Tamandua tetradactyla: one gene and its partners. The protein of the gene in region 1 purifies or fractionates together with the protein of each later gene. This does not show direct contact. Links are inferred from orthologs where the notes say so. Each region holds a gene or a part of one and is shown in the gene's direction. Other genes may lie near its edges.

What was found.
Region 2: the proteins of INAVA (region 1) and CYTH3 purify together in Homo sapiens (co-immunoprecipitation; 3 studies listed by BioGRID and IntAct, counting the BioPlex papers as one, with this or other methods). This does not show direct contact. The link is inferred for Tamandua tetradactyla from reciprocal best matches to the Homo sapiens genes INAVA and CYTH3.
Region 3: the proteins of INAVA (region 1) and CYTH1 purify together in Homo sapiens (co-immunoprecipitation; 3 studies listed by BioGRID and IntAct, counting the BioPlex papers as one, with this or other methods). This does not show direct contact. The link is inferred for Tamandua tetradactyla from reciprocal best matches to the Homo sapiens genes INAVA and CYTH1.
Region 4: the proteins of INAVA (region 1) and CEP170 purify together in Homo sapiens (co-immunoprecipitation; 3 studies listed by BioGRID and IntAct, counting the BioPlex papers as one, with this or other methods). This does not show direct contact. The link is inferred for Tamandua tetradactyla from reciprocal best matches to the Homo sapiens genes INAVA and CEP170.

What each region holds. Positions count from the first base shown.
Region 1 is NC_135330.1:57,986,142-57,993,553, forward strand, and holds the start of INAVA (innate immunity activator protein), read left to right. Parts: upstream 1-4,053; 5' UTR 4,054-4,068; coding exon 4,069-4,229; intron 4,230-7,412. UniProt on the Homo sapiens protein: Expressed in peripheral macrophages and intestinal myeloid-derived cells, is required for optimal PRR (pattern recognition receptor)-induced signaling, cytokine secretion, and bacterial clearance.
Region 2 is NC_135349.1:5,669,769-5,677,169, forward strand, and holds the start of CYTH3 (cytohesin-3), read left to right. Parts: upstream 1-4,358; 5' UTR 4,359-4,492; coding exon of another isoform or gene 4,493-4,496; coding exon 4,497-4,539; intron 4,540-5,502; exon of another isoform or gene 5,503-6,107; intron 6,108-7,383; exon of another isoform or gene 7,384-7,401. UniProt on the Homo sapiens protein: Promotes guanine-nucleotide exchange on ARF1 and ARF6. Promotes the activation of ARF factors through replacement of GDP with GTP. Plays a role in the epithelial polarization.
Region 3 is NC_135332.1:71,097,711-71,106,000, reverse strand, and holds the start of CYTH1 (cytohesin-1), read left to right. Parts: upstream 1-5,082; 5' UTR 5,083-5,701; coding exon 5,702-5,729; intron 5,730-8,290. UniProt on the Homo sapiens protein: Promotes guanine-nucleotide exchange on ARF1, ARF5 and ARF6. Promotes the activation of ARF factors through replacement of GDP with GTP.
Region 4 is NC_135333.1:14,519,982-14,527,516, reverse strand, and holds the start of CEP170 (centrosomal protein of 170 kDa), read left to right. Parts: upstream 1-4,334; 5' UTR 4,335-5,172; exon of another isoform or gene 5,173-5,311; intron 5,312-7,535. Other genes in the region: SDCCAG8 (serologically defined colon cancer antigen 8), read right to left, coding at 3,977-4,043.

The sequences.
Region 1 (7,412 bases):
TTCTCTTCTTTTATTTGCTTTGGGCTTAGTTTGCTGTTCTTTCTCTAATTTCTCCAGGTAAGCAGTTAAGTCTTCAATTTTTGCTCATTCCTGTTTTTTTTTAATTTTTTTTTTTACTGTATAGTATAACATATACACACGGCAAAGAAATGAAAAAAGGAATAGTTTTCAAAGCACTCTTTAACAAGTAGTTACAGGACAGATCCCAGAGTTTGTCATGGGCTACCATATGATCGTCTCATATTTTTCCTTCTAGCTGCCCCAGAATATAGGAGGCTACAGGGCTTAAATACTTTTTTTATCATCACAATCAACTTTTTTCCTTCTTTTTTTGTGAACAATAACATCCATACAAAAAAGCTACAAATTTCAAAGCACAGTACCACAATTAGTTGTACAACGTATTTCAGACTTTGACATGGGTTACAATTTCACAATTTTAGGTTTTTACTTCTAGCTGCTCTAAAATAGTGGAGACTAAAAGAGATATCAATTTAATAATTCAGCATTCATATTCATTCGTTAAATCCCATCTTCTCTGCATAACTCCACCATCACCTTTTATCTTTCCATCCCTCTCCTTAGGGGTGTTTGGGCTATGGCAATTCTAGATTTTTCATATTGGAAGGGTCTGTCACTAATATGGGGTAGGGAGATGGAACTATCTGATGTTCTGGAGAGGCTGGGCTAGGTTTCAGGACTTATCTGGACCAGGGACCCATCTGGAGGGTACAGGTTTCTGGAAAGTTACTCTAGTACATGGTACTCTTGTAGAATCTTATATATTGCCTTCAGGATTGGCTGGAATGGTCCTGGTTGGGGGTTGGCAGGTTATGATAGGTAGCAAGGTCTAACTGAAGCTTGCATAAGAGCAACCTCCAGAGTAGGCTCTTGCCTCTATTTGAACTCTCTCTGTCACTAATACTGTATTAATTGCACTTCTTTCTCCCCTTTTGGTCAGGATGGAATTGTTGATCCCATGGTGCCAGGTCTGGATTCATCCCTGGGAGTCATCTTCCACGTCGCCAAGGAGACTTTCAGCCCTGGATGTCATGTCCCACGTAAGGGGGAGGGCAATGATTTCACTTGCAGAGTTGGGCTTAGAGAGACTGAGGCCACATCTGAGTAACAACAGAGGTCCTCCAGAAGTAACTCTTAAGCATACCTTTAAGTAGGCTAAGCTTCTCTGCTACCTACATAAGCTTCATAACAGTAAGACTCAAGATCAAGGGCATGGACTATTGATTTAGATTTCCCTATGGTTTGACACAGTATCATGGGATTTCCTGATGGTAAAGTTTATTTATTTATTAAACACAACCACATACAAACACAAACATTCTTTCCACATGATCATTCCATTCTTGATATATAATCAATAACTCACAATATTATCACATAGTTGTATAATCATCATCATGATCATTTCTTAGGACATCTGCATCAATTCATAAAAAGAAATAAAAAGAAAACAGAAACAAAACTCATACATACTGATGGTAAAGTTTAATAGTTCTATATATTTTCTCCCATCCCTCAAGGGACTTTGCCAATACTTTTTGATTATCTGCTTAATATACTCTAGGATGTATCCAGATATTATATTAAGCTATACAGGATTAAAGGACCTCTTTCTTATTCTGGGCTTCCTGTGTTTCAGCTGTTTAAATGAGCTATACAGATAGGTTGAGTTAGATTATGTGCTACAGAAAATTTCGGTTTCAGACCCAATAAACTTTTCTTGCTTTCGTCTCAAAGAGTATGTGTAGTTCTAAAACATAGACACTGTCTTCCTTACCCTGTGTTCTGAATTACTTCAACACCAACCTGATTGGCTTCATTTTATCTCTAAATATCAGGATGTATATATATATATATATATATATATATATATGTATGTACATATAAAAACAGCCTCTCAAAATCCAGAAATAATAATTACCCTTCCAAACTAAATATGTCTGCTATAAAAGCTTACAATCTAGGCCTCTGTTTTCTTTTAAGCATTCTCTAAATAGACCATACCATTCTTGTTCTTTTGTTTCTGGTTTCTTTTGCCTCACCAAATATCCCACACGTTCATTCACATTGTTGCTTGCCTCATGACTTCATTCCTTTTTTGTAGTAGCACAACATTCGTTCATAAGTATACACCATCATTTGCCAATCTACTTCTCAGCAAGTGCATCCTTCAGCAACCTGCATTCATCAGGGACCAGGTATAGGGCCCAAAGTCCACAGTTCATTAATGCTCTCCATTTTAGATAATTTCATTGTTCCCAAGAGAAAGAAAACCAATAAACATATCCTCCCCAAATAGAAAATCTAAACCTCCTTTTAACTCTTGCTCCTCCCCCCATTATTTACCTCTGCTGTTGCTGTGGTAGTGCTGATGGTTTCCTTTTAAACACACTCCATAGCATGCACTAGCAGTTTTCCCCTGTACCCTGGATTTAAGCACTCTTTGTACAGGAATCATACCTTTGAAGTAATTCTTGCAAGAACTAATTTATATTTCTAATGTTAATCAGTGTTTTGGGGAAGGTTTTTGATGACTGGTTTCATCTTTTTTACTTGTTATTGGCCTGATGAGATCTATTTCTTCTTTTTTGGGGTTGGGTGGGTGGTTCATGGGACAGGAGCTGAACCTGGATCTTCTGCATGGCAGGTGAGAGTTCTACCACTGAACTACCCATGCACCCCTTTCTATTGTGTGTTCTAGGGATTTGTCCATTTTATCTAAGTTATCTAATTATTTGGCACGCAGTTGTTCATAGTATCCTCTTATAATCCTTTTTATTTCTGTGGGGTAGGTAGTAATGTCCCCTTTCTTATTTTAGTTATTTGTGTCCTTCTCTTCTTTTCTTTGTCAGTCTAAGTTCATCAATTTTATTGATCTTTTCAAAGAACCAACTTTTGAATTTGTTGATTCTATCGTTGTTTTTTTCCCATCTCATTTATCTCTGCACTAATCTTTTTTATTTCTGTCCTTCTTGCTTTGGATTTAGTTTGCTCTTTTTCTAGTTCCTCCAGTTGTGAGGTTAAGTGTGTGATTTGAAATCTTTCTTCTTTTTTAATGTAAGCATTTAGATTTATTAATTTCTCTCTCAATGCTATCTTTGCTACATCCCACGAGTTTTGATATGTTGTGTTTCCTCTGTGCTCTTTGTCATTATGATTTTGTACGTCCTTGTACTGCCCACTGGGGCCAGGCTTTACAGATCTTAAATCTGCATCAGCGCCCCTCTCCAGGACCTGCTTTCTAGCAGTTCACTGATGCCATTGCTGGCTTGATTACTTATGTAGATGGGGAATCTTCCAGAGAAGGGGCTTAAACTTTCATCCACAGTGCTGGGCGCTAGTAGCTGCTCAGTAAGTGCTTACTAGAACCCACGATAAAGTGCGAGTAAGTGAATGAATGGATTGACAAGGACATCTTGGCTCACAATAAGGAGTAGGAGGTGCTCACCTGGAATAGGCTCCTTCTTTCCTCTTACCAGCCCTAGTTCAGCCAGGAGTAATGGGGCTGGGGGTCTGAAGTGTGCGTGTGGGGGGTGCAGAAAGGGAGGGGAGAAGAGTTCCTGGTTGGAGCAGCCCACTTGTGGCTCAGCGACCAGCTGTGGTGCACAGCAAGGGAGAAGAGGGGCTGGCAAAAAAGGGGAGAGGCGCCTGTGGGGGGAGAACGCGGCGCCCTCCTGCCCGGCTCCTTACATTCTTTCACCCTGGGGTCTCCTGGAATGAAAGCAGTCTCCAGCAGCCCAGAGCGCGCGTGAACGGAGGCACCGGGACGGAGAAAGGAGCCTCCCCCCGACCTGGGCTGCGGAAACTGGCAGCGCGGGGGGTGTCCCGCCACGCGGGCGTCCAAAAGCCAGAGCAGAGGGACAGCCCTGCCCTTGGAGCTGGTGCTGCCACAGGGTGGCCTCCCCTTCTGCGCCTTCCCACCCCAACATGCGGCCACAGACCGCTTTGGGATCGGAATTTCGAATCCTTTCTTCCATCTTTCCCCTCTTTCCTCCGGGTCTTGGTATGCCCCAGGGGACAGATGTCTTGGGATCTTTAACATTTGGGATGCTGCAAATGCCGAAGTTAAATGAAATACCTCCGGGGAGGGAAGGTCGGGGAGAAACTCGGGGAGAGGGACGATGGCCTGGACAAACAAGTCTTGAAGCTGCGAGGCGGGAACGGGGGGCGCGGGGGCAAGCGGGCGGCGCCAGAGCTCCATGGGACAGGTAAGGGGGAAAACTTAGGGGTGGCCAAAGGGGGTGAATTGGAGGACCCAAGCCCCTGAACTCACCATCTTCGGTCTTAGTGAAGGGGGTCCGACAGGGAATGGGGTGATTTTCCCAAGGAAATGAGAATTCAGAGTTCCTCTCGAAAATGCGTATTTCCAAACCCTCAACCTTTCCTTCTTCAGCTTTCCCCGTGCCTGTGGATCCTCTGGCCAGGTTCCGGGAAGCCAAAAAGCAGCCAAACAAAAGGAGCGAAGTCTGGGGCCGGCCTGGATGTGGAGGGCGCGATGGGGGAGGGGAGGAGGGTGGACAGGACAAAGGGGCTTTTTAAAGAAAGCCTTAGAGGTCTGATTTCAGGATGCATTCCAGACTAGCATGGAATTCCCCTGTCCCAGCCCACTCCACCATCGCTTGGTGGAGGCAAGCACCTTTCCCCGTGGGCAAAGAGTGGAGAAAGCGAGCAAGTTAAAGAACCGTTCCGCTCCCTGATCCCATTGCCTGGAGATCCTGGGCCATTTCCCTACTTTCTTTTTCTACTCATAACTCTGGAAGTGTAACCATTGATTCATTAATTCATTAAGTAAAATTTTAAGAGTATCAGAGATGCTATCGGGAATGTGGTAATGGTAGGAAGGGCACTTGCTTTGAAGAACTTCCAATCTAGTGTATCAGAAGAAGCTTAGAGAAGGAAGGAGAGAGAGAGGATGGCTACAGGGCTGTGGGAGAGTTTTCTGATTCAGAACTTTTCCTTGGGAAATGAAAACCCTAAAGAGAAGTAGTTTTTCCTCTTTCTGGGGGAGGACTCTAATCTCCAAAGTTCAGAGTCCAAGAATATAATGTTGTACAAGGAAACCCCACTTCCTCATCGGCTGGTCCTGGTGCTGATGGTCTGGGGCTTGGGGCTGGAGGGTTCCTCCTCTTATCCTTAGACTGGGTGGCAGTGGGGCTCTAAGCCGCAACCCCCCAGCTGGACCCCTCAGCCACGTGCCCCGCTCATGGTATTTGGGGTTGGATGACTAGGGTCGTCCGCTAGATCCCGGGGTCCTTGGTGAGAGGGTTGAGGTCCCTGGCCCATTCCAAACATCTTATTTTGCTGGATTGGGAAATACTGGGTGTGAATTTGGAGGAATGAGGGTGTCATTCAAAATTCCAGAAGATCAGTGCAAACAGATTGAACATCTGTACTTCTCTCCCCTGAGCTCAGAGATAGGGGATCACTTAAGACTGGTTCTTGGTCCTGAAATGGGTTGATAGCACCAAAGATATCTATGGCTAGGATTCAGAGTTAGGAGGAAAATGTCTTTTGTTTCTCACCTGTAACTAGAAATTTAGTATTGCCTCCCGTCATAAAGGCACCAAACTGCAGTAGCATTAGCAGTACCTGTGACTTTGCCACTGATAGAAATCGCAGGTATTTTTCATATGACATCACACTTGCCGCAGATTATCTCGAAATATTGTTTACAGTGATCGTGTCTATGAAATTGTTATTAGTAGAGCCGCTGCTAGACCCTTTTTAATGTTAATAAAGAAGCATATGTTACTATGTTCTATTTCTAGAACTGTATTTCAAAGTAATTGGTTCTCTTAGTGATTCTCTATAACTTTCATTTTATGCTTTGAAAAATATGCTATGCACTGACTCTAGAAACTTCCATCATCCGTCCCCCTCCCCACCTGTAGCTGGGGGATGGGCAAGGTGTGGAAAAGAAGTCTACCCTTCTCTGTCTGACCTTGGAAGCCTATGAAGGGAGGGGGGGACTGTTGTGCTGTGGAGCGCAGGGGGAAGGGAAGGGCTGCTGGCTTTTGGGGACACCCTGGACCTGTTCCCTGCCGCCAGGAAGGGCCTCTCGTCCATTAGGGCCCTTTGGCCTCAGCCTGGGGCTGAGGGAGGAGGTGGTCAATGTCGAGAACCCTGGGACTAACACTGTTTGAAAAGAGGGTGTGTGCAGGAATGCGGAGGTGTTCAGGGGGCAGGGGTGGAGTGGGGAGTGGGAGGTGCTGGCCGAGGGGAGGGGCAGGTCAGAGCTGTGTCTGTGACACCGAATTCTGCACCGACGGAGATGCTCTGTGGGAGCAGACGTCATCATCCCCCACTGGGGGTTGGGGAATGGGGGTGGGGATCTTTAGGGGCTGGGGGAGGGGAAGCCATCCAGGATTTGTTGTAGTGGGGGGTGGGAGGATTGGGGGGTTGGGGGAAGGGAGATGGTGAGATGAAGTCCTGGGGGGTGGGGCACAGTCCTTAGTCCCAAGCATCTTTGTGTTTTCAGCCTCCTGGGGTCAGGCAACTGGCCACCTCGCCCCGCTTCCTTCTGTGAAGTAGGCTGGATTCCAATTTTGGGTTTGCTCAAGGGTCGAGGGAAGGGGGAGTCTGGGGGCTTATGTTTTTATAGGGAACAAGTTCCATTTCTGCCTGTGGCCCCATATGTGTGGGGGGGGAGGTGGTTCAGAGCCTGGGATTGCTGTTCAGAGCCTACTGTTGCATAAGGGTCAAGACTGAGGTTCGGATTAGCGCCCCATAAACTGTGCCGGGGAGTGGATGTACCCAATCAACGGGGAAATGATGGTCTTGTTATCCGGAATGAAAATCGAGAACAAGCTGGCTCTCTCTAGGCCCCTAGGGCCTCCTCGCGGGTTTGCTCCTTGCCTGAGGTTTCTGTATTCCCATTTCAAGCCTTGTTCCCCATTTCAGGGTATGGGGAAGAGTGATGATTTGACCCTGTTAGTTTGGAAATTCCTTGCTGGCATTCCCATGGATAAGTGAACCTTCACGCTGCTTCTGGGGGGAGGTACATGCCTCAATTTCTGGAAAGAGAAACTGAGGTCCAAGGAGGGCGGTGAACATCCGAGGCAGGGAGAGCCAGGGGCAGGCGAGAGGGCACCTGGGCACCTCACAGCTCAGCGTCGGTGTAGACATGACCCCTCTGTCTCCTAGGTGCCTCCATCAGGAACCCCTTGCTCCTTGCTCTCTGCTCTGCCCCCGGAAGTGCAGAGGCCCAGGAGCTGGGTGCCGGCTGTTGCCACCACGGGATTAGTTCAGGGAAGTAGTTGCTCACCTGCTCCTCCCCTCTGACTCAAGTCACAACAAGTAACCTGGTTCCCCTGGCCCGGCAGCCTGGGAGGGAGGCCGGCGGCGGGTGGCGGGAGGAGTGGGACGGCCGGCAGCGTGCGCAGACCTAGGGC
Region 2 (7,401 bases), on another chromosome or scaffold:
CTTCATTTTTCCAAGTTTACCACTAAAGGAACTTGTGCTTGCAAAAAGGCAAGTTGCTAATCAATCTAAAAGGAATGAACCTGCCCTTGGTAAGGGGAGGCCAGGGAGCCGGTGTCAAGAGGGCGGATTCCAGGGAAACCGAGTGCAAGGCAAGCCACATGGAACGAATGGAAGGGGAGCCTCCGCACACATTGGGGATCAGAAGATCTGGGCGTTTGAAAATCGAATGAGCTCTGACCCGAGGCTTGGACCTCTGCTATTTGTCTGGGTGGAGTGGAGACTGCCAATCTGCACAAGCTCATCTCCACTCTGATGAGATGCTTTCTTTCCTAGATGAAATTAGATTTCGGAAAATATGACGTTCCTTTCGTGACCGTGAGCTGAGAGCAAGCAGGCGGCTCTGTGTGCCTTCCCCCGAGTGGACCAGACCTCTGAGCAGATGTGACAGATTAGCTGAGGTTCCCATCTGCTGAAGGTCACTGCCGTGTCTGCATTGCTTGACCGTTATCGAAGGAGACAGGAACTGCTCTGTGCACGGTCTGGGAGCAGCCGTAGCTCATGCAGCCCGGACGGCCTCTTTCTGGCCAAGCACAAGGAAACTGGCCTTGGCAGGGTTTTGCCTATGGTGGCCCTTAGTCCTGGGAGAGGAGACTTCTGTACGATTTCACGGACGTCCGCTTGAATGAGGGAGATGAACGTGCAAACGAGAAGTCTTTTTCACCTTTCTCAGAATGTGCACATTGAAGGTTTCTTAAACTATTTCTGCAACAGTCAGAGGGCTGATAAATGGGTTTCAACATGCTTTCAAAAGGTCTCTCACTTTTGATTGCCTTGTTAGTCCAGCAGCTGCCACTAACACTGTTGTTTCTCCCTTTTCTGACCTGGGTAGTCCCTGCAGTGGGTGGCAGAGACAAATTAAACACAGGCCACAGTCTCTGTCTTCCCCAAGGAGCTGCAAAAGTGCAAAGCTGAAACACACGGAACAGGCAATACTCGGAACAGGCAATACTGTGAGAAAGTCTTGTGGGTAAGGTAGGGTAGGGTATCAAAAATTACAATGAAACAATTATTTGTGAATTATTTGCTTAATGACTGGTGCTTCTGGGCCTGGCCATAAGTCTCATGAGGGTATGGAATGATCTGTCTTTTTATTGTCATATTCCCAGCACCTAGGACAGTGCCTGGGATATAGAAATGACCTAAATATTTATTGTCTGATTGAAGGGTCCCAATGAGGTTTGAGGTTCAATACTTGTTATCTTGGAGAGATGTCTGTTGCATAAATTGTTTCCCTTAAAGATTCACTTATAAAGAGTTCAACCTCCGAGTAAACCACTCATAAGCCAGACATAAAGTGATGGCCTAATCTTAGCGGACAAATCAGGATTCTTAGTGTTCCTATGTGTGGGGCAGCGTGCATGTAAGCAGATTGGATTTGTGCTGGGATTTGAGAGAGACCAGGAAGCACCTTTCCTTAAAAAAAAAAATCTCATTTTCCCATTAGATATTATTTTCTTTGGTTGTGCAGGGTCTAAAGTCTTCTAAGTGCCCCTCCCTGTAGTTAGATGTATAAATGACACCCTAAGACTTTATTCCCCCTACATTTTTACAGGCTTTATTGAAATGGGGCCCAGATTTAACTAAAGGGATAATATAATATTCTACTTACAAATAAATGGGCTATGCCTTATTTTGATACCAATTAGATTAGATGGAGAGGGCGACATTATTTACAGGGACTTAGTAAGATCAAGGCAAAGGCCTGGGCTTCTCTGGGTCCAAGGACATGGTAGCTGAGAGGCACTTTTGGCAGAAAAGGGCAGCTGCTTGTAGCTTAGGGAGGAGTGAGCTAAATCCTGTGTTCTTAAATCTTGAACTTTAATTTAAATCAGAATTTTCTGCATCTGTTTCTTTTCCTTTAAATTTACTGTATTGAGGGAATGAACATATATATATATGTAACATAAAATTTGCCATTTTAACCTTTTTTTTTACCAACATTTGCATTTTTTCGAAAATTTGTTACAATCGATGGTCACAGTTTTTTGCAATTACTATTTTTAAACTTTTTTATTGTATGGTATAACATATATACAAAGCAAAGAAATAAAAAAGTAAGTTTTCAAAGCACTCTTCAACAAGTGGTTAAGAGTGGTTAAGAGCCACAGTTCATCACGGGCTACCATATGGTCCTCTCATATTTTTCCTTCTAGCTGCTCCAGAATATAGGAGGCTAGAGGGCTTAAATATTTTTTTATCATCACAGTCGACTTTTTTTCCTTTTTTTTTTGTGAAAAATAACATGTATATGAAAAAGGTATAAATTTCAAAGCACAGCACCACAATTAGTTGTAGAACATATTTCAGACTTTGACATGGATTACTATTTTAGCCATTTTTAAGTTGTATACTCCAATGGCAATATATTTACAATGTTATGCAACCATTGCCATCATCCATTACCAAAACATTTTCATCACCCCAAAGAGAAACTCCGCACCTATTAAGGAATGACTCTCTGCTGCCCTCCATCTCCCTGGCCCAGGTCAATTATTTATATTTCCATTGCTATGAATTTGCGCTTTCTGGATATTTCATACAAGTGAAGTCATACAATATTTGTCCTTCTGTGTCTGGCTCATTTCACTCAAAACAATGTCTTCAAGGTTCACCCCTTGTATAGCAGTATCAGAACTTCATTCCTTTTATGGACGATTGTGCCTGTTTCTTGAGCCAATTATTAACTTTTTACAGTGGTCATGGTTGGATGAATTCTTTCCAGAAAGGAGACAAGACCAAAAAGGGAATCTTTAGGTATCTTCATTGATGCTGTGTTCTGGAGGTCAAGAAACGTTTGTTTGCTTGGAAGTGTTTGGCATAACTGTCAAGAATTCCACAATTGGAATGGAATAATTCAAACTCTGTGAGAAGCATCTATGGATCACACGCCAAGGGACCTAAGGAATTAGGGACTGACATTGACAAGCATTTATAATTGACAGTACTTTTGAGTTCAAAACTCCACATATCACCCTATCATATTATCCAGTTCAAAATATGCTGTCATTTCCCCCCGGTCACTGTGTAGTTATCTCTAAGATAAAGCTGACAGGAACAAGATCAGGAAGCCAAGTTTGTGGGCTGAGTCTTGAACCTAAGTCTTTTGACTCCCTTTTCTGTTACACATTTGTCACATAAACTGCCAAATATCTTATCTGCACCCAGAAGTGTCCCCGAGGGCTTTAGAAATGGAATGCACGTGCTTAATTCTTGAAATTTTCGGGAAATTCAACTCTAACTTCTGGAATCATCCCAGGATCTCCAGCAAACGGTCCATTTTAATAGACGACAGTGGAAAAGGGATCCTTGGATTCAATGAGTCATTTGTGAGGATAAACAGTTACAGGAAAATTTTATTAGGTAGACTCCATCTCCTCCATTACAGTGTTTGCTTTTCTTTAATGCAATTAAGCTCATGCAAAATGAACAGAAAGGCCTGGGTGGGGCCCACACCCAATGCTGCGGGGGAGCAGGGGCAGTAATTAGGAACGTGAAAGATGTGGAGCAGAGACAAGCTGCGGTCTTCTTCCTAGGAGACCAGTGCTTAGGACCCTGGCTGTGCCCCCGGGGGGAAAGTGAATTGAGAGCTCTCTCTCTCATCTCTGTGCGTCTGCATCATAAATCCAGGGCAGCTGGCAGCTTTTCAAGGCAGACTAGAGCTAAACTCCAAGGGCATCTGAGGCTGAACTGGCCAACCTCGTACAGTGCCCGCGCAGGGCTGGGCACAGGTGTGCCCGCTCGGGTTCCCACCTAGCGACAGCGTTCATTCACAAGCCTTACACGCTGTTCATGTGAAAGTGTACGCTGATCCCCAGGAAGGGAGAAGAGGCTCCATTACGCATCAGAGAGCCGAAAAGGCTGCGATGATCCTGAAGGCCGGGGAGACCTAAACTCTCCTGGGCCGCAGGTCGAGGGTCTGACTTGCGAGCACTTGCCTCACCTGGTCTTTTTCCCCGCCTGCACGTGCAAAGAGGACGCCCCCCCCCCCCCCCCGGCCACGGGGATTTGCAGAATGGGGCATTGCTGCGTCTCGGACCCCACATCTGTGCGTAGGTCGCCTAAGGCGGGGAGGCGCGTCTCGATGCCTGGTTCGCCCTGGAGGACCCCCACAAGCCAGAGCGGAGGCGAAGGCGCCCGGGCGGCGGGCCCACGCGGACTGGGCTGCGGGCTCGGGCGGGTTCCCGGGGGCGGGGCCGCGCCGTCTGCAGCCCCGCCCACCGCACCCGGGGGCGGGCCCCTCGGCGTCACGTGACGGCGGTGGCGGCGGCGGCGGGCGGCGCCGAGCGCGAGCGCCCAGCCCGGCCCGAGGAGGCTCCGGGCCGCGACCCCGCAGCCTTCTACGCGCGCTCCGGACCGGCGGTTCCCCCCCTCCGCCATCTGCACCGCGCGCCCCGCCGGCCCGGGGCTCGCCGGCTGCGGGAGTCACGTCAGGATGGATGAAGACGGCGGCGGCGAGGGCGGCGGCGGTGAGTGCCGGAGGTGTGGCCCGCCCGGCCGGCGGCCTGGGGCTGAGGGTCTGGGACGGGCCCGGCGGCGGCGGCGGCGGCTGGGGTCCGGGGTCGGCCTGAGGAAACAGGGCCGGGGGCAGCGCGGGGCCGGCTGGAGACCGCCCGAGGCCCGCGACGCGCCGGGCCCGGAGCCCGAGCCGGGGGGTGGGGGGCGCCGGGGAGGAGCCGGCTGGTGTCGCCGCCGAACCCGAGCGGGGGTCCCGGTGCGGGGCCGCCGGGGAGGCTCGGGCCGGGGCTGCCGGGTGGCTGTTTTGGGGCGCGGGGCCCCCGGCGCGCGACCTTCCCCGCATCCCCTCGCCAAGGGCGTCCACGCCCTCCGGAGCACCCCCCTTTCTGCCTCATTTCTCGGGGAGGCCGGAGGGGGACCGAGTCCACGGGGAACGGGCAGGAGGAAAGTTTCCAGTTGGGGACCCTCCCTGGGAAAAGAGGGGAGGGGGCTAGAGGACTACAAGGAATGACAGTTTTCTTGGCTTTGGGGTCAGACGCGGCCGCTGGAATTGCTTGAGGAGGGGGCAGCGAGGGGACAGGTCTGGACAGGCGTTTTGTGAAACCGTGACCGGTACCGAGTCGGCAATAGAAGGAGTCGCCTGGGCTGGGGGTCGGAGTGACGAGCCGCGGCGGGCAGCCGAGGGCGGGACCCGGGAAGCCTTTTCGGGCGCCTCGGGCGGGGAGGAGAGCGTCCCCGAAGCGGGTCGGGTTGGGGTGGGCACGGCCATGGGGTCTGCGTCCGAGGCTCACGGGCCTGGTGCTGGAAGGCTCTCATGTGTTTGAGATTATCTCGGTGGAATGCAACGCTCAGTCGTGTCGGGGCACGGGCTGCTGCGAATTGCGAGTCTGCGCAGGGGGTGGGTTCTTGTTTTGGCAGGCAAAGGGTTAATGTTCCTTTTATTTTATTTTTATTTTTTTCCGGAACACCCGGAGTTGCGATCCTCTATACTTTTGCTAAAGAGTACCTTTTTTTTTTTTTTTTTAATTTAACTGGCTGACCGAAGTTATCCGAACTCCTTGTAATAAGGAGGCGTTTTGAAAAATCCTAATTACAGGCTGCTCAGCGGTTGCCTGTAAGAATCAGCTGCATCGGATGCTTCGGGATGAAGTGGTTTAATCAAGGTGCCTTCTAGAACTTGAGTGCTCCCGGGAGGGAATTGGTTTTTTTTTTTTTTTGCAGAAAGAAGCAGTGCGGCGGCGGTGGTGGGAAGTTGGCACGAGTGGTGGCATTTGGAGAGTTGGGTTCTCCGCGTGAAAGCGAGGGCCGGCTCTGTGACACCAAGTGGGTGTGTTGTTTATGAAAGAAAGTGTTGTGGAAAGAAGGAGCCCCGTTGCAAAGCCTCCTCCAGCCAGGCTGGCTGCCTGAAGACAGGATCCGGAGCGAAGGATTCCCTGTGGGTGCAGTCTGCCTGTCACAATGTGAATAACCCCGCAGGCAGAGCAGGTTTTCCTTCTCAGAAAGTAGACAGAACGACCGTGATGTTTAAACCTTTGACATTTTCGAGTCCGGGAAGCTGGCTTGGCGATTTTGTTTGCAATTTGCTTTGGACTCTGAGTAAAGAAATGTTGAAGAATTAATTTAGCATTTTTTGAAATACTTAGCTTTAAAATTTGTGTTTTTAAAATAAAGTTCAGCCCTTTGAAAGATAATTTCAGTTATCAGTCAACTGTCAGACAATTGTGATTGTAAAAGACAACATTTTTTGCATATTTTTAGAGTACGATACACAACCTAGAACAGTATTGGGGGTGTCAGTTTCAGCTTTGTTTAAAAAAATAATCTAGTCAAATAGCTGTTATTGCAGAGGCCAAAGACAATTTAAAAGGTCTTTGTGAACGTGTTGGTCAGATTTAAAAGACTCCAAAATTTGATTCCTGCTTACTGCTTTTATAATTTAATTTTTGCCCAGGATGTATTTATTATATGTTCTTTCAATGCAAGATAAGGAGAGAGGATGGTGATATGAATGGTTGGAGTGCAGTTATAAGGAGGAACAAGTGGGGGCTGCGAGATTACAGGAACGCATTGTTAAGTATAACGTGTGCAGAGCATAGTTAAGGCATTTTTAGTTCCTTTGGGACTCGCCTTTCAGTTTTAACAGAACAATTCTTGAGATATGTCTCTACTAGGAAGGTGACTGGCTGGTTTGGCAAGGAGCCACCATCTTAATGACCAGTTTTGGAATATGCTTGAAGTTCCTAATGGACCATCCAGGGCAGGTGCTGTTAAATGACCTTGCTGCCTCCCACCTCATTAATGTAGATAAGAGTCAAGTTTGTGCCTCACTTGAAAAGATGTTCAGCTTCCCTCATTATGAGATAAATATAAATTAAAGCTGTATTGAGTCCCGCCTTTCACCTATCAGGCAGTGCCCCCCTTCCCCCTGGTCTGCAAACTGCCCGCTTGCGAGGCAGTCTCGTTGCTGGTGGAGGTGTAAGTTTGTTTCAGCTTTTTGTGGAAGCAGCTTTGGCCTCTATCCTTTTGGCCTTCAGGTCGTGCCTTGCCCTTCTCCCAGGAGGAGGGTAGGCTGCATTTCCCGGACCTGGGGTAGCTGGCTTCGGCCGAGTCTGGCCGGAGGGAGCCCCCTGAGAGGTTGGGTGGCAGGAGGAAGGGAGAGGCTGGGTTATTTTTCGTGTCCCCTCCTTCAGCCTCAGACAGCGGCTCTGGCAGGTGCCTTGCTTCTTTCCTGGCTCCAGCTCCCACTACCAGGTCCTCTGTGTTTCCATTTCTGCCCAGCGACCCTAACCCCCAACCTTGGAAATCTCCTCCCCTTTACAGGTGGTAGCAGCGTCTTGCTATTGCTAATCTCTGGGTTGTCTGTCTCACCATTTCCTCTTTGACTTC
Region 3 (8,290 bases), on another chromosome or scaffold:
TCACAGAAAGACAGATGTCCACACCAAATAAACATACCAAAAGTTACCAGACATTACTGGTAATCAGAAGTATAGATATTAAAATACTATTTTTTACCTCTTTTAGTTGGCAAATATTTTAAATGGTAATACTTGCTGGATGAAACCGTGGTGAGGCCACCATTTTGAAACACAGCTGGTGAAACAAATTATCACTTTAGAAATCTATTTCATAGCATGTATAATGAGCCTTAAAAGAGTTTACTTATTTTGACTCATAAATACCCTTCTGGGAGTTAATCAGGAAGTCATCAGAGACGGGCACAGAGGCCAAGGCCCATGGATGCTGCAGCATCAGAGATGATATGGCGACAGATAAATGTCCACAGCCATTAAAATACTGATCTGTCCAATTCTGATCCAACATGTTTGGTTTCTTTGTAGCTTCCCCCTGTCCATATTTCCCTTTTCTGACAGGAATAAACTTGGTTCCCATTTTTTTCAGGCTTGGTGCCCTCTAGTTACACTTCCTTCCCTGTGGATTCCACCTGCAGCCTCCTTTGCCCGTTGGATTGAGCAGGAGTAGAGAGAGGGTGGAAGGAGAGAGAGGGCAAGGTGTCTTCTCTCTAGCTCCTCCCTACCAGGTCGCTGAGGGTCCGTAGAACCCAAAGCTCCAGCCAGGCGACCTGCATTCAGCTGCCCTCTGCCAAGGAGCCGGAGACCTTGGAGACCTTGGCCTGTGCCAGCCTGGGAAGCCTCCTCGCTGCTCACTGGTTTCCGTCCCTCTTGTTGACAGTCCTTTCTTACAGCCTGTCCAGTTCCCATGCTGAGTGTACCTTTGTCCCTTGAGATTATGAATAACAGCAGGTATCCCACTAAAGAGAATCTTTCCCTGAAACATTACATAAATATTTATGTAAATTTTCTTCTAAAGTAAGATCAAGCCATTAAATATTTGAATATTCTTACCTTACCATCACCAGATGGGGTGAAGCTCAGTAAAGGATTAAGGCAATTTGAGGCATTAATTGAAAATGTAAAATGATATTTTATGTCTTGAGTCCAAACACCTGCATCAGAATTCCCTGATTCATGATTTTTAGCCTGAACAGATATAGTGTTTTCTTCTACTTTGTTGTTTTAGTGATGATTATGGGGTCCAGCCAGCCCTCACTCTACTGTCTCATTTAGCCAAACCCCATTCTTTCTCAGGCCTGCATCTGTATCATCATTCTCTTCTGTAATGCTCCATTGTTCTTCCAAATGGTTGTTGAATTTTCTGTACTTTACATTTGAATAAGTACACTGACCTTCCTCTCACAGTCTTGGTATGATAGTTTGTTGCATTTTAGGGGCAGGGCAGGGCAGCGGAATGCCTCAGTTGGCCCAGGATGGCCCCGGGTCCTACCCACTGTCTGAGGAGTTACTACCAGCACCAGCTGCAGACATGAAAATGTCCCTGTGTGGATAGTAAAGTATGTAGCCATTCTCTTTATGAGTGAGTTGATTATATAATTGGGCATGTCAGTAGTTAAATTTCTTCATTAAGGAATTTGAAACATGTATTTTCATTCATTGCTTCATTTTTTAACAATGTTATTTGTTGCGCTAGATTTAGCAAATGCCATGTGATATCGGGCCAGGTATGCCCTACCATGCTGTCAGCTTCGGGGCGGCTGCCTGACCCCCACACCCAGAAGCGGCACAAACCTGTTCTGAAGGCATGGGAAGCTAAGAGCATGGCAGCTCCATTCTTCTTGCCCAGGCCAGAGGGCTTGGAGTCATCCTGGATTTCTTTCTTTCGCACTCTTCATGGAAATCTACCAGCAAGTCTTTGGCTCTTCCACAAGCATAAATACAGCCAGAGCCTAGGCAGTCATTGTCGAAGCTCCCTTGGCACAGCTGTCAGGGCCTCCCAGCTGGGCTCCTGGCTCTAGCCCTTACTCCCCCACCATTTGCTCTTATCCACCAGTGAGCACAGTGTTGTTACAGAGGAGGGCAAGGCACTGCACTTTCCTTGGAAGCCTGGCACTGGCTCCTCATCTCACCTGGGGTAGGCATTTGATTCCTGGAAATGGCCTCTCAGGCCTTGTTCAGGCCTCCCCACTCTGGCCTTACCCCTGCTCCAGCTCCTGGCCTCCTTGCTGTTCCCAGAGAGGTCTGTCCTGACAGTGCCCCTGGCCCTAGTGCTGCGGTGTTTACCACCTGACATACTGCACATTGACTAATTTGCTTGCCTGCTTCACCCGTCTCCCTATAGAGTATAAATGCCACGAGGGTAGGTATTTTTATGTTTACTTCTCTGGTGCAGCACCCATGCCTGGTAGTTACTGCTGAATAAAAATGTGTTTGAGGGCCATGGTGGCTCAGCAGGTAGAGTTCTGGCCTGCCATGCTGGGGACCCAGGTTCGATTCCCAGTGCTTGCCCATGTAAAAAAATAATAATAATAATAAAATAAATAAATTCCCCTTTAAAAAAAAACAACTGAGGGGGGACTCTCTGCGTGGGACATGACTCCCAGGGGTGTGGACCTTCCTGGCAACATGGGACAGAGATCCTGGAATGAGTTGAGACTCAGCATCAAGGGACTGAGAAAAACCCTAGAATGAGCTAAGAATTAACATCAAGGGATTGAGATAAACTTCTCGACCAAAAGGGGGAAGAGTAAAATGAGACAGTGTCAATGGCTGAGAGATTCCAGAGTCGAGAGGTTATCCTGGAGGTTATTCTTACGCATTAAGTAGATATCACCTTGTTGTTCAAGATGTAGTGGAGAGGCTGGAGGGAATTGCCTGAAAATGTAGTGCTGAATTCCAGTAGCCATGTTTCTTGATGATGATCGAACAATGATATAGCTTTCACAATGAGACTCTGTGAATGTGAAAACCTTATGTCTGATGCTCCCTCTAGCTACTATATCAACAGAAGAGTAGAACATATGGAATAAAAATAAATAATAGGGGGAACAAATGTTAAAATAAATTCAGTTTGAAATAGTGGTAAATGAAAGCAAGGGGTAAGGGGTATGGTATGTATAGTCTTTTTTCCTCTATTATCATTTTATTTCTTTTTCTGTTGTCTTTTTATTTCTTTTTCTAAATCGATGCAAATGTACTAAGAAATGATGAATATGCAACTATGTGATGATACTAAGAATTACTGATTGTATATGTAGAATGGAATGATACCTAAATGTTTTGTTTGTTAATTTTTTTAATTAATAAAAAAAGTTAAAAAAAATGTGTTTGAGTGAAAAGAATTGAAGTTTAAGATTCTAGATTTGATTATAACAAGATAGAAACTTCTGTATAACAAAAGATACCACAACTAAAGTTAATATTAAGTAACAGATTGTGATAAAATAATTGCAACATCTAATACAGAGGATTAGTAATCTACAAGTTGATAAGAAAAAAAGACAGTTGATAGAAGAATGAGCAAAGGATGTGGACAGGCAGTTCACAGGAGAGGGAATACACAAATTTACGGCAAGATCACCTGCATCACTGCTAATCAGATGGTAAATGCAAACTGGAAACAATAAGAAGACATCATTTTCCACATATCAGACTGGCAGGAATTAAGTTTGATGCTGCCTGAGCTTGGGAAGCTGTAGGAAAATGGCAGGTGCTTTGGCAGTGTCCACTAAAGCTGGACTTGTCTAGATGTGATGACCTAGCCATTTTGCCTTTGGGTGTCAGCTCCAGAGAAATACTCTCCCATTTGACAGCAGGTAGAGTGTAGAAATGACCTGTCTTCTTGAAAGTTAGGATCATCCTCAGAGAATCAGACCTGGCACCAGAAGATGGGAAGTGCTGATTTGGGAATCATTAAACTCTTAGGTTTTGAAATGGACTGATACTGGGATTCCTTGTGGATGGAGGTCAGAAAGGAGAAGATTTAACTGTTTTTTTGACGTTCTAAGTCAAAGGGTAAAAGGCTGAATTTGTTAGTTGACTCTACAGAAAAAGTATTTAAAAATATATATATGTTTATATTTATTTAACTATTATTAGGCAAGACAGAAAAGGGTGGGATGAGTCTCTGCCCCGTGATGCATCAGCACCTGTGGTCGCCTTCAAATTATGATTGGTGACTCTCCATCTTGCTGTTAGCCTGTGTGTTTCCAGCTCTTTAACAAGTACCAGGGCAAAGGACAGCAGGTTCAGGCTCCCCACCAAAGAGTACAGGCACCTGCGATGCCAACCAAGGCCTAGTGGAGGGGGGTGTTGGCGGACCAGAAGTGAGCATCATGCAGCTGGTCAGTTCTACAGCCAGCAGCCTTCTTTGGACTTTGGCTGAGCCATATAACTTTTGGGATTTCAGTGTCCTTGTCCGTGAATGGACATGAAGACAACACTTGCCTCGCAGAGGTGCATTCAGGAGTAGGTGGGTTAGGCCATGTCAGACTGGGTTCAAAGGAACCCCTCGTAAACAGGACCTCTAATGCAGAGGCATTAGGCACACTTGTTCTCCTTTTATTTGCCACTTGCGAGTATGAATATCTAAGTGAAGAACCAGAATATCATGGAAACTATATCTGTATCCAGCAACTCTACTCCTAAGAATTTTTGTTAAGAAAATAAAGAGATTTTTTGTGCACATGGGTGTTTATTGCAGTGCTGAGAGTGGCAGTAAAATTGGAAACTACTTAAAAGTCTTAAATTAAGGGATTGCCTATTATGTTTATATGGTAAAATACTAAAAGCATGGTTGATGTTCAGTTAGTTGTGGAAAATGTTAGTAAAAATGGTGTTATAAACAGCATGTAGAGTATCTCATTTTTGTTGCAAACAATATATATACAGAGTGAGAACACACACAAATGAAAGTGAACAAGTCTGGGAGGCTGACTCCCCATATGTCATCATCAGTTATCTCTGGATGGTGGGATTGTGTTTTCTTATTATAATGCTTTCTCAATTTTCAATAGTGAACATGTATCATATAATAAGGGTGTGCTGAAAAGATTTTGGGGTAGCACATTAGAAAACAGAATGGTGTTAAAACCGAGTTTATATTGAGAATTTTGCCCTTGAATATTTTTTTTCTCTCTAAAACCTGCCTTCTGCTTTTATTTATTTATTTATTTATTTATCTATTTTACATGGGCAGGCACTGGGAAACGAATCCAGGTCTCCAGCACGGAGGAGAGAACTCTACCACTGAGCCACCGTGGCCCGCCCTGCCTTCTGCTTTTAGCCTGTGACCTCATAACGTGCTGTAATGATTAAGATTTCTTAGTCATTCTCTTAGGAAATGAGCTATCATCCCATGAGACAATCAGGGATTTCAAAGTCCGTTCTGAGAAAGTACTGGAAAGGGGAGAGGAAAGCTGCAGTCGGTGCTGCCGGTGCCACCACTGTAGACGAGCCGAATCTGAGGAAGGCGGGGAAGGGCAGCCTGCCTCCCGCTAAGACCGCCTTGGGAGGGAGGTGGCCCCTGGGCGGGAAGGTGCTCAGCCTGTCTTCAGGAACTGGGTGGTGACCAGGGACTGGGCGGGACGCTCCCTGTGAGCTGGAGGCCGATTGGTCCAGGAGAGCAGCCAGCGATTCCCCTTCAGTTCAGGAAGCAGCACCGAGGTGTCTGGTGGCCAGATAGCCCCACGGGCGCCTCTGGAACCCCTTGACCAACCCTCACGGGAAACTTTGCTCTGACTTGCAGTTCTCCTCTGAAGGACAAGCCTCGTGGGCCTGTAGGGTGCTGCTGTGACAGAGCAAGATGGTTCTTAAAACCCAAGAGGAGGAGGGTAAGGCCAGGTCGCAGCGGGCTGGGATGGAGGCGGCCTCGGGTGTAGGCAGTGTGCTTTCTCTCTGACTCGTGCGTGGAACTAGACCGACAGTTTTACGGGGCCTTTTAGGGGAGGAGCTAAAGACTGATCCACACTCTGGTTTTTATCGTGCTGTTTTCAGGAGAAAGACTGGATAATGAGTTAGTGGTTAGTGAGTTAGTGTGTGTTGGTCCTAGTGCTGGTGGTGGGGAGTGGGTAAAGTAACTGTGTTTTTAAACCAAAGGAAGCTTTTTGTTCCGCTCCACCCCCCAGTCTTTGTCGTTGTTGGGGTCTGGTGACTTCCTGGTGACTTCCTTCTTGGTGACTGTGCCTGTCCTGGGCAGGCCTGGGCTGAATCTGAGTGACAGTCAGAACCCCTGAGAGCTCCAAGAACACCCAGGGGTGAGTCAGTGCTCAAAGGTAGATGTGATAGACCGGCACCAGTGAGGTTCAGGATCAATCATACTCATTTTTAATTTTTTTATTAAATAAAGTGTGATGAAGGGAAAATGCATAGTTTGATTTTCCTCTTTGGTTAAGACTGTTTGAAGCCTTATGGAGTTGATGGACTTCCCCCACATTCTTCACACGCACTCCATAAAAAGTGAGGCTCTGAACAATGGGACCGTAAATCCCATTTATGGGATTTTTTTTTTTGCACAGGCAGGCGCTGGGAAGTGAACCCAGGTCTCCGGCATGGCAGGTGAGAAGTCTGCCTGATGAGCTACCGTGGCCTGCCCCATTTATGGGATTCTAAGTCCCAAAAAACTCTTAAGAAGAACTGTGTCTGACAGCATCCTAGGTTAGGGCTTTCAAACTTTCTGAAGCCATAGGAGTTTTGTGTGTGGATTTGTGTGCATTCTCTTGTGATGCTTTCATCACGTGGTGGTATTTCAAGGCTGTAAGTCAAAACAGCAAGATGATCTTAGCTAGTAAAGAATAATGTGAATCACATTTGAAATAAATCTTAGTAAATATTAGGCTGCATTTTGAAGTGGGTTTTATTAAAATTATAATAAATTTTGGTGGTTCTCTTTATGCTTTTCCTTATCTAATTCACTGTAAGTCATGTATTTTGGAGTTTCATGAACTCTGTGCAGATTGTCTTGGAGAATATCCATGGGGCAGCTTGGAAACTGTATCATCTATGAAAGACTTTGGGAGAGAGGGACATATAGGTGCCTGTCATGCTTTTGCACTTGAAGAGGGGGCAGTAACGAGAGACAATTCTGGGTAAGAGTTGAACTGCCCACTTGGGAGTTTTTGGGTCTGAAAGGTGGGACCACACTTGCTGTCTGCAGCTCAGGGGGATTTGGGAGTGGAAGGGGACACAGTGTGTACTAGGACAGAGCCTCTGGCCACTGTACTGCGACTCTTTCTTACGCAGACCCACCGAGTCCAGGCTGAGAGCCACTGCGGGGTCTAAGCCAGAGGGGTTTGGCCCCAGTTATCCCAGAGGCTGTAAAATCCAAGATGATCTGCCCTCATGTGCGTGCTGGGTTAAATGGTGGCAGTGCTGATTTTTGGGCCAGGAATTTTAGAGATCGGAAATAGGAGTAACAAGCAATTTTGCTCTGAATAAGTCACCTTAAAGAGTTGGTGGTTCTCTCTTTCTGTTCCTCATCCAGGAATTATCCCTCCATGTTGGCTGTTTGGAACAGTGCAGAGGGCAGAACTGCCTTGTTAACCACTGCCCACATAGGTACCTCAGGTGTGATGAGATGTAGAAACGGTAGTTGGGTAGCTGTTAAAGTCAGAGGAACAGTTGGAGTTTGCACTGGCAGTTCCCCAAGATCCCAGGGGAGGAGGGAAGTTAAGCGTCAGCATTATGCTTCCAACAAAGCTGCTTTTACTAGTTTTAGTACCTGAAGAACATGCCTCATTAAGGATCACTGGGGACGTGAAAATCTTCTTGACTGTGGTCAGATCCTTTCCTGCTGTACTAATCTCAGATCCACAGCCTATACAATAAAAGTGTTGCTTTTGCCCCCATCCCCCTTTCCTGGCACCTATGGCGGTCACCTTATATTCCAGTATCATGTATGTATAAGTGGGAGTTAACCAGTGTGAGTAATTTGGCACTGTTTCTATAACTGACGTTAAGTGGTTTGTTTACGATTTTGTTTCATCTTTTTAATGTTTAGTCCCCCTTAATTTGCCTTTGAGCCCTCTCTTGGGAAGAGGGATTTAGGCTCTGTGATGTGGGACAAGAGGCCCTTCGCAAGCAGCTGCCAAGCTCTGTTTCTGGTGCCCACCCAGTTCTGGGTGCACCTGGGCCCTCGTCACCTGATTACTTACTGGCCCCCAACCCTTGTTTGGTGTTTGCCATCCTCTCTGCTTGGAATCTGTTTGGGGCTCCATTCATCCTTCCTGGTCGGCACCACTGTCCTTCCTGCAAATGCGTGTTCACATACTTTCCTTCCTACAAGTCCTCATGTTCCGTGCTGAGAAGGGACTGGATCTATTTAAATCTCAGCTCCAGGCACAGGCTGAACAGATGGCAGGTGCTCGGTACCTGCTGAGTTGACATGATCCTATGT
Region 4 (7,535 bases), on another chromosome or scaffold:
TTTCTTCCCATATTCACCCCCCCCCCCACTTTCCATGTACCTAGTTTGACACTTTAATCACATTTTCATAAGGTAGAAACACAGCCTTTATCATCCACATGGCTCAACCTAGTGTTGATGGAAGCGACATTAGCGATCCAGGTGTCAGAGAGTGGTGCACAAGGCTGAACCTAGCATTCAGATGTGTTTTGTTTGGCCAGTAGAGCATAGAAGGGAGAGGAGAAGAGAAAAAAGGCAAGGATGGAAGAAGGAAGGAAAAAGAAAGAAACTGGAATATTTTTGGGAAAAGCATACACTCCCAGTTTAGACAGAAGCCTCACCATTTCCCACTGTCTTCCACTGATTCCAACATACACTTTATCTTCTGCTTGGCTCCTAAAGCATTAATTCCCACATTTAGTCCAAATTTGAACTAGCAAGTTCTCTCCTTCTATCTAATATCATATCTCCACATTTAAGGAAATACAAATCCAAGACCTTGCCTATGAACACACAGATGGTTATCAGCAAAGCAACAGAAAGGCTTATGTGGCTTAGTTCCACATTCTCTCCCACACCCCCTCCCCCATCCTAACTCTAAACATGCTCTTCCCACAAAGTCAATCTAGTCACCAAAATGTTGAAAGAAAAGAGAGTCTCAACTTAAAAAATGTATATATAAAAAAAGTATGTGGTCCTTTCATATTGCAAGTAGTTTCATTTTTCTTTATGTCTACCAAACCAAAGGTGACTAGAAACTAGGTGAAGAGGTGAGTCATGTTTATGGGGTTTTTTTTGTATGCTCCCATTATTGCAGCACCATATACTGATTTTTTATATTGAATTTTTGTTTGTTTGTTTGTTTTGCTTGTTTGTTTCCTGGGAAGTGCATGAACTGGGAATGGAACCATGGTCTCGCAGTTGGCAGGCGAGAATTCTACCACTGAACTATCCTTGTACCCCGATATGCCCACTTTTGACCACACTGGAAACTTTCAGATTACCTACTATGTAGGAATAATATTGCAGATCTGTGGGGCAATCACGTCTTCCAGTGTTTCTGCCATAATTCTTATTTTAAAGAAGCATCATTATGCCTCTCCAATTTCTTGCAGATGGTGCATAGGCAACCCAAAGCAGGAGATATCTTTTGAGAGCACAAAATACAATGAATATATCTGAAAAGTGAAGTGTAGAGAAAGGATGAGAGGTGACTGTAGGGTCTAGAGCTGAGCATACTATTTTTGTGGCTGCTCCAAGATCATCAGAGTGGAAGAGAGGCAAAAATTCCACTCCAAGTTTTAAAGCAAGAAAGTGAACTTTGTTTTTCACATCAGAGCTTTAAATTCTTAATTTACTATAGCAGAATCAAAATTTTTTAAAGTAAAGAAATGAGGAAATTAGAAAATGGAGGGACAATCACTTAAAACTGTGAAAGTATTTTGAATTTTTATATGGCAACTTCCTGGGTGAATATAAATAAATAGGTATTAGTAATGCTTACATGTTACAGTTCTTTGTAACCAGAGGAATAATTTGTGACGAAAGACCAAGAATGTTTATTACTCTTCCTTTAAGCATGAACTAGGCAAAGTATCTTCAGGGAGTAATGGTGGATATACAAAATCCAAATGAATCAACAAAAAGGAAAATAAAAATCAAGACCAAATAACTTTAAATTGCATTTAATCTGATCTAGATGGATACAGTTCTCAAATTATTAGGCATAAGCACTAAAATAATTCATATACAATAACTCTACCACACTTTGTTAATTCAGGGATACAAATTTCTACTTTAAAGGGAATTAATCTATTCTAAAGTATTGATTCATATTTGTGAAGTGAAGAACTTCTGATTGTGCTTAAGTTCAGTATTAGTTCTATTTTGTCACTCTCTCAAAGTTTTTATATAAGCTAACATACATTAAAAAGCAACGAAATAATAAAATAAGACCGGAAAACCCACAAAAAGTATCAGGTTCCACTTTTGACTCGTTGTTGAAACTATGCTCAAAACATTTCAAAAATGCTTTAACTTTACTCTCTTTTTTATGTTTGACCTTAATTAAAATTTTTCAATACCTTATCATAGTTATCACACTAAATTAAATGACTTTAAATTTTTTTTTTTTTTTAACATGGACAGGCACCGGGAATCGAACCCGGGTCCTCTGGCATCACAGGCAAGCATTCCTGCCTGCTGAGCCACCGTGGCCCGCCCAATGACTTTAAAATTTATTCTCTGTGAATGAAAACTATTCTGTAAGCAGTATCACTGGTATTAAACACATTAATACAACATTAGCTTATAATTAACCCCTTTACCATATCAAAATGCCTAATATTAAATTGTTTCCAAAGCTGACATTAAGGTTCAAAGGGAGAAACTTATAATGGAGAACAAAAATTTTCAGCAGCCTCAAAAATTAAACAAAAACCACACATATTATCATTACAAACAGTATTTTTCCTGCTTTCAAATGAAAAGTTTTAAGTGGTTTATTTCTGTATCTAATACCTCTTGAAATATCAGTAGTGAAGGTATTCATTAAGATGAATTCTTTTACTTCCGTAGTTTGAATATTAAGAAAGTTGACAGTTGTAAAACTGTTGACAGATATAAAGAGCAAATAACCCTTAAAAAGTCTAGAGTCAGTAGAAGATAATCATTCCAATCTCCTAAAAAAATCTTTACTTTGTTGCCAATACAAAGTATAAACAGCAGCTGACATTTAATGAATGCTTCTTATGTACCACGTTGATCCCATCATAGTAATGTGTAAGTATTTTACTTATTGCCTTTCTCTTTCACTGATCTAGAAACTACATAGGAACATTGTCCTTGCTTGTGTTGTTCCTTATTAAATCTCCAGCACCTAGCACACCTAACACATAGTAGGCACTGAATTAGTATTTGCTGCATAATTGAGTTAATGTTCTTAATGCTTTCAATTAGCTTTCAGCAAACTGTGGTTCACGACATAGAGAACTACAAAAATGAACAACAGAAAATAGGGTGATTATATGTAGTAGAATAATTTTTCTTCAGTGAGCTATTGTTCTAGTTATTTATGCATATATTCCATATGAAATATATTTCTTACTATGGGTTATGATAAAAAGAAAAATGTTAAAAAGGACTTTTTGACGTGGGTTTCATTTGCTCCTTACAATGACCCTGTATACAGTACTCTAACTTCTATGTCAAAATTACACAACTGAGTTTTCTAGAGTTTATGTAAGTTGTACAAGATGACAGAACCATCTGACACAAATACAACCATCACTTCCATAGATACTCACTAACAAGATATTGACCTAACAAGTGAATAAAGTTTCAGTTATAGTAACTGTGATAGGATTAATACACTTATTAATGTAGGTTTTGAAAGCAGATTCACACGTATTCAATATCTGGTTCTGCTACTAATCACCCGTGTGGCCTTTTGCATATAAAACCTGAATCTCGATTTCCCAAGTGTAAAATAGGGGTAATCAGTAGGTTGTTGCAAGTTTTAAATGCACTCGTGTTCTTCAAAAACCTAGACAACTAAATAGAAGGTTCTGTGATTAAAACAATTATGTGTTTCCCCACTCCATCCCGGCAAATAAATCACTTTCAGTCCACTATATCGGAATTTGAATGTGTAAAAAATGTGAATCAGGAAAGCACAGGATTAAAAAGCAAAGTATGAGAATTGGGCAAGAGTGGCATAAAACTTTCCAACAGTTTCTGTGGGCATTGGTTAAGAAAAATGGTCAACTCAAGATCAGGCAGTTTGTTGAGGTTACTAACGGGAATCAAGGAAACAACGCTGCTTAAATGTAAAAACAAAACAAAACTCTTTCATCCTTCCTCAAGGATCACGGCAACATCCATCTTCTTCTTCTGCAGCCTGGCTGGGGCCGAACAGAGGTGTTAGGAAAAACGCACCTGGTCATCCACGAGGCCCTGGGTACCAAGGGGCTAGGAGCAGAGATTCGGAGCAACTCACCCCGGAGACTCCGTTGATAGTGCCCCAAAATCTCCTCCAGGGCAGAGTTCCCCGGGGACACGGCCATGCACGGACCGAAGGCCCAGAGATGGGAACTACGTGGGGAAGTGTCCAGAGAACAACAGGCCTAGCGCCTAGAGAGCACCCGCCCTCTTCCTGCCGCGGCTGTCACTGTGGAGCGTGGAACCCAGTATGGAGCTCCTGGAGGCTCTTCCCACCCAATGGCCCTTACGGTGGACTTCGGGAGTTGCAGTCCCCAGGCTCTCGACCTGAAACTTCGAGGCACCTGAGAGCTCCTCCACAGACACTACAATTCCCAGAGGGCACCGCGCTCGGAGCTCAAACTTCGGCAGTTTGGCTGCAATAGTCCGTTGCCAAGAGACACCTCAGAGGCTCCGCCCGTTTCCTCCTGCCCAGCCTGGTTTAGTCCCGCTTTCATCTCATCCTTCCGCTGCTTGGACCACTTAACTGACGGAAAGAGCCCCCTGAAGGCCTCGACTGTTCGAAATGTTATACTATGCAGTTGACCCCTGAGGCTTCTCAGTACGCAAGTGAAAAGCTCGGGATTCTGTTTTGACCGCAACGTTGTAATAACGACCACATAAATTCTTAAGGAAAAGAAACTCTAGACCTACCGACCAGCCTATGTTGTGAAGGCGGCCGATACTACAAATCCTAGCATGCCCAGCGACCCGGCCTCCTCTTGGAGTTGGCGCACTGCCCGCAGGGAGCTGTAGTCCTTGTTGGTTGCGGTCCAAGCTACTGATAGGGTCCTCTTTATTGTTCAAGCCGCTCTTTATACCACGCCTGCGCAGTGGGCAGCAGCAAAAGCGTGTGGGTGAGACCCTCAGTTCAACGCCTTTTCATTGTCTCATTTTCGCGCTTGCGCAGAACTAAACTGTTGGGCCAGAGCAGGCGGAGGGAACAGGGCCCGGCCCTGCGCCCTTTCCCGTGGCGCCTGCGCACTAGGCTGCCGCTCTTTGCCGTTACCGCTATGTGTGAGGCGTGTGTAGAATAACGTTATTGCCCAGAGGAGCTGAGGGGCCCGGAGTTAAACTGCAGCGGCAGCATCGACGACGACAGCGACGACGACGACGACGACGACGAGGGGGTGGGGGGAGGACGGCGTGCTTAGAGACTCACGGGACGCGACGCGCCCCGCCTCCCCCGTCCGGTCCCTCTCCCAGCGGTGAGGGGTAAGTGATGCTGTCGGCTGCTTGGGTTAGGCGTTGCTGGTACAGCTACTGCCGCTGCTTTTACACATCCTTTTCCTGGAGAGCCTTGGGTTTGCGGCGGGGACTCGGGTTGCGAGGCCGGGAAGCGAGGGGGTCGCTTCCCGGAATCTCCGCGCGGCGCCGCGGCCGCCGCCGCCGCCACCCCCACCCTGGGGCTCGGCGGGGCCGCCCGTCCCATCCCCCACCCGAGCTCGCGTGGTTCCCCATCTCCTGTCCCTCCAGTCCAGTAGCCAACCTGGCCTTGCCCAGCCTCTTTTCCTCTGACTCTTTCCCTAGATGTATAGAATCGTTTTCAGCTCCCTCTCGGGCTTTGTGCAACCTTCCCCCCACACACCCCCCCGCCGCCTTAGCAGTGTGCGAGGGGCGCGAGCGGAGGAGGATCGGAGGGAATGGCCACGCTGCCTCCGGAGAAGGGGTTTTTCCCAGCCCGCGCCCCTCATCTGAGCGGCTAACAGTGCCGATCCTTTTTATTGGTTTTGGGGAGTGAGGCGACTGGGGGAGGTGGTGCGAGGTTGGACGCGGTTGACGGGCATGGAAGACGTGGTGTCACGCACCCTGGCAGGCGACTGCACTCCGCGTAGGTTCTGGCCCCGTGGTAAACCCTGGGGCGGAGAGAGGGGCTTCCTGTCGCCTTCATTGTCCTAACATTCGAATGTAGGCCTCTGGTATGGTTTTCTTCATTTTATGCAAAGGAAAAAAAAAAGATTACCAGTTGCCTAAAACAGGGCGGGAAGATTTGGGATTTGTATTCTCAGTCACGTAATCTGTTTCTGGTGTACAGTAGAGTGTTATTTATTTATTTGAAGACTGTAAGCTTCTGGAAGACAGGGTCTGTGCTTAGTGGAACCAAGCCCTGTAAAGGTGGTCAGTGTGTAAGATTGCTAGACAACGATGAAGACTGGGCTAGGAAGGCCCTGACAATGAAGCTTTTGTGTGGCAGGGAAATGAACCAGCAGAATTGTTTTTTCATTGGGTGGGTAATGCGTTCGTATTCTTAAGGGAAGGCATTAGAATAGATCTTTACGTCGTTTTGTTTTCTAAAAGCAATCAAATCAAAACAAAAAATAACCCTTGTATATTTTAATTTCTGAAGTGGTTACTCATAGTTTAATTCTTGTAATGAAAACTCAACTAAATTGGGAGGAATTTGATAAAGCAGATGATTGAAAATTTTTAAATGATCTGATTCTTACACTTACAGTGTTTACTGTAAGCACTCGCTGGCATTTGTAGTTACAGCAAGCAGAAGAGAGAATGAAGTAGGATGAGGAAAGAAGCAAGTGGAAGAAAAATGACATTGTAGGAGTTATATTCTGAATACAATTTCTAGATCTCTCCACTGATATAATCCAAGCTGGGTCTGCTTCAAAGATTTAGGAATACACCTCTGGAAATATTACACAATGAATAGCAAATTATACAACCATTTTGTAATTTTCTGCCATCATATTAAAAAAAAATGAAACCATGCTTTTGGTTCTTTCTAACTTCATAGATATTGTAGAAATTTTTGTGTTTTAAAACTGGAGAGTCTAAGTACTTTTGTCAGAGGAAGAAACTGAAACTTGAAAATTTACCTGACTTTTCCAACCAAGCCAAACTGCTAAATGAAGGCAGAGCCAAATATTACAAGGCTCTGATTTGCCTCCTCCTGAGGTCTGTACCCCTAGTCCTCCTACCCTGTGAAAAAGTATGGAAAGCTTTTCTCTGTGTGCTGTTTGAGTTGTGAGGATAAAGTTCATTAATAGTTCAGTTGTATTAATCTTGTCCTTTTCCTCGTGATGTTAAGGTGGTAATCCTACTAAAATAGAAATTTTATAAAGTAAATTACTGGTATAGGGAAAACTGCCCTAATGTGGGCTTTTCATAAAGATAGGAATCGTTGGAATTCTTTTCTCTCCTACTTAATAGTGACCATATTTTAAATTATTTCTTGGTATTCAGTAATGTTTTGTAGTATGACCAACTCTGTAATTTGTTAAAAATAAAATTGCCACATAATAGAAGCTTATCAAGTTCATTTTTCTTCAGTTAATGAATTCTATTTTCGATTTAGACTACAGTTCACCTTTTGAGAAAAATTCATGTTACACTACCTTTCAAAATTAGCGTTTTTTATTGGATTTGGTTTGCTGTAAAAGCTGTTATGTTGTCTTATGATTTTTACCCTTCAACTTTGTACTGCATTTTAATATTTTATTACTATTTTAAAATTTCAACTTAAATTAAAAAAAAGAAACATAACCTGTAATTAATTCAGTATGTGGGATAATATTAAATCAGGCTATGAACATAATTAACTGGTAAATTTCATAGCGCTCCAA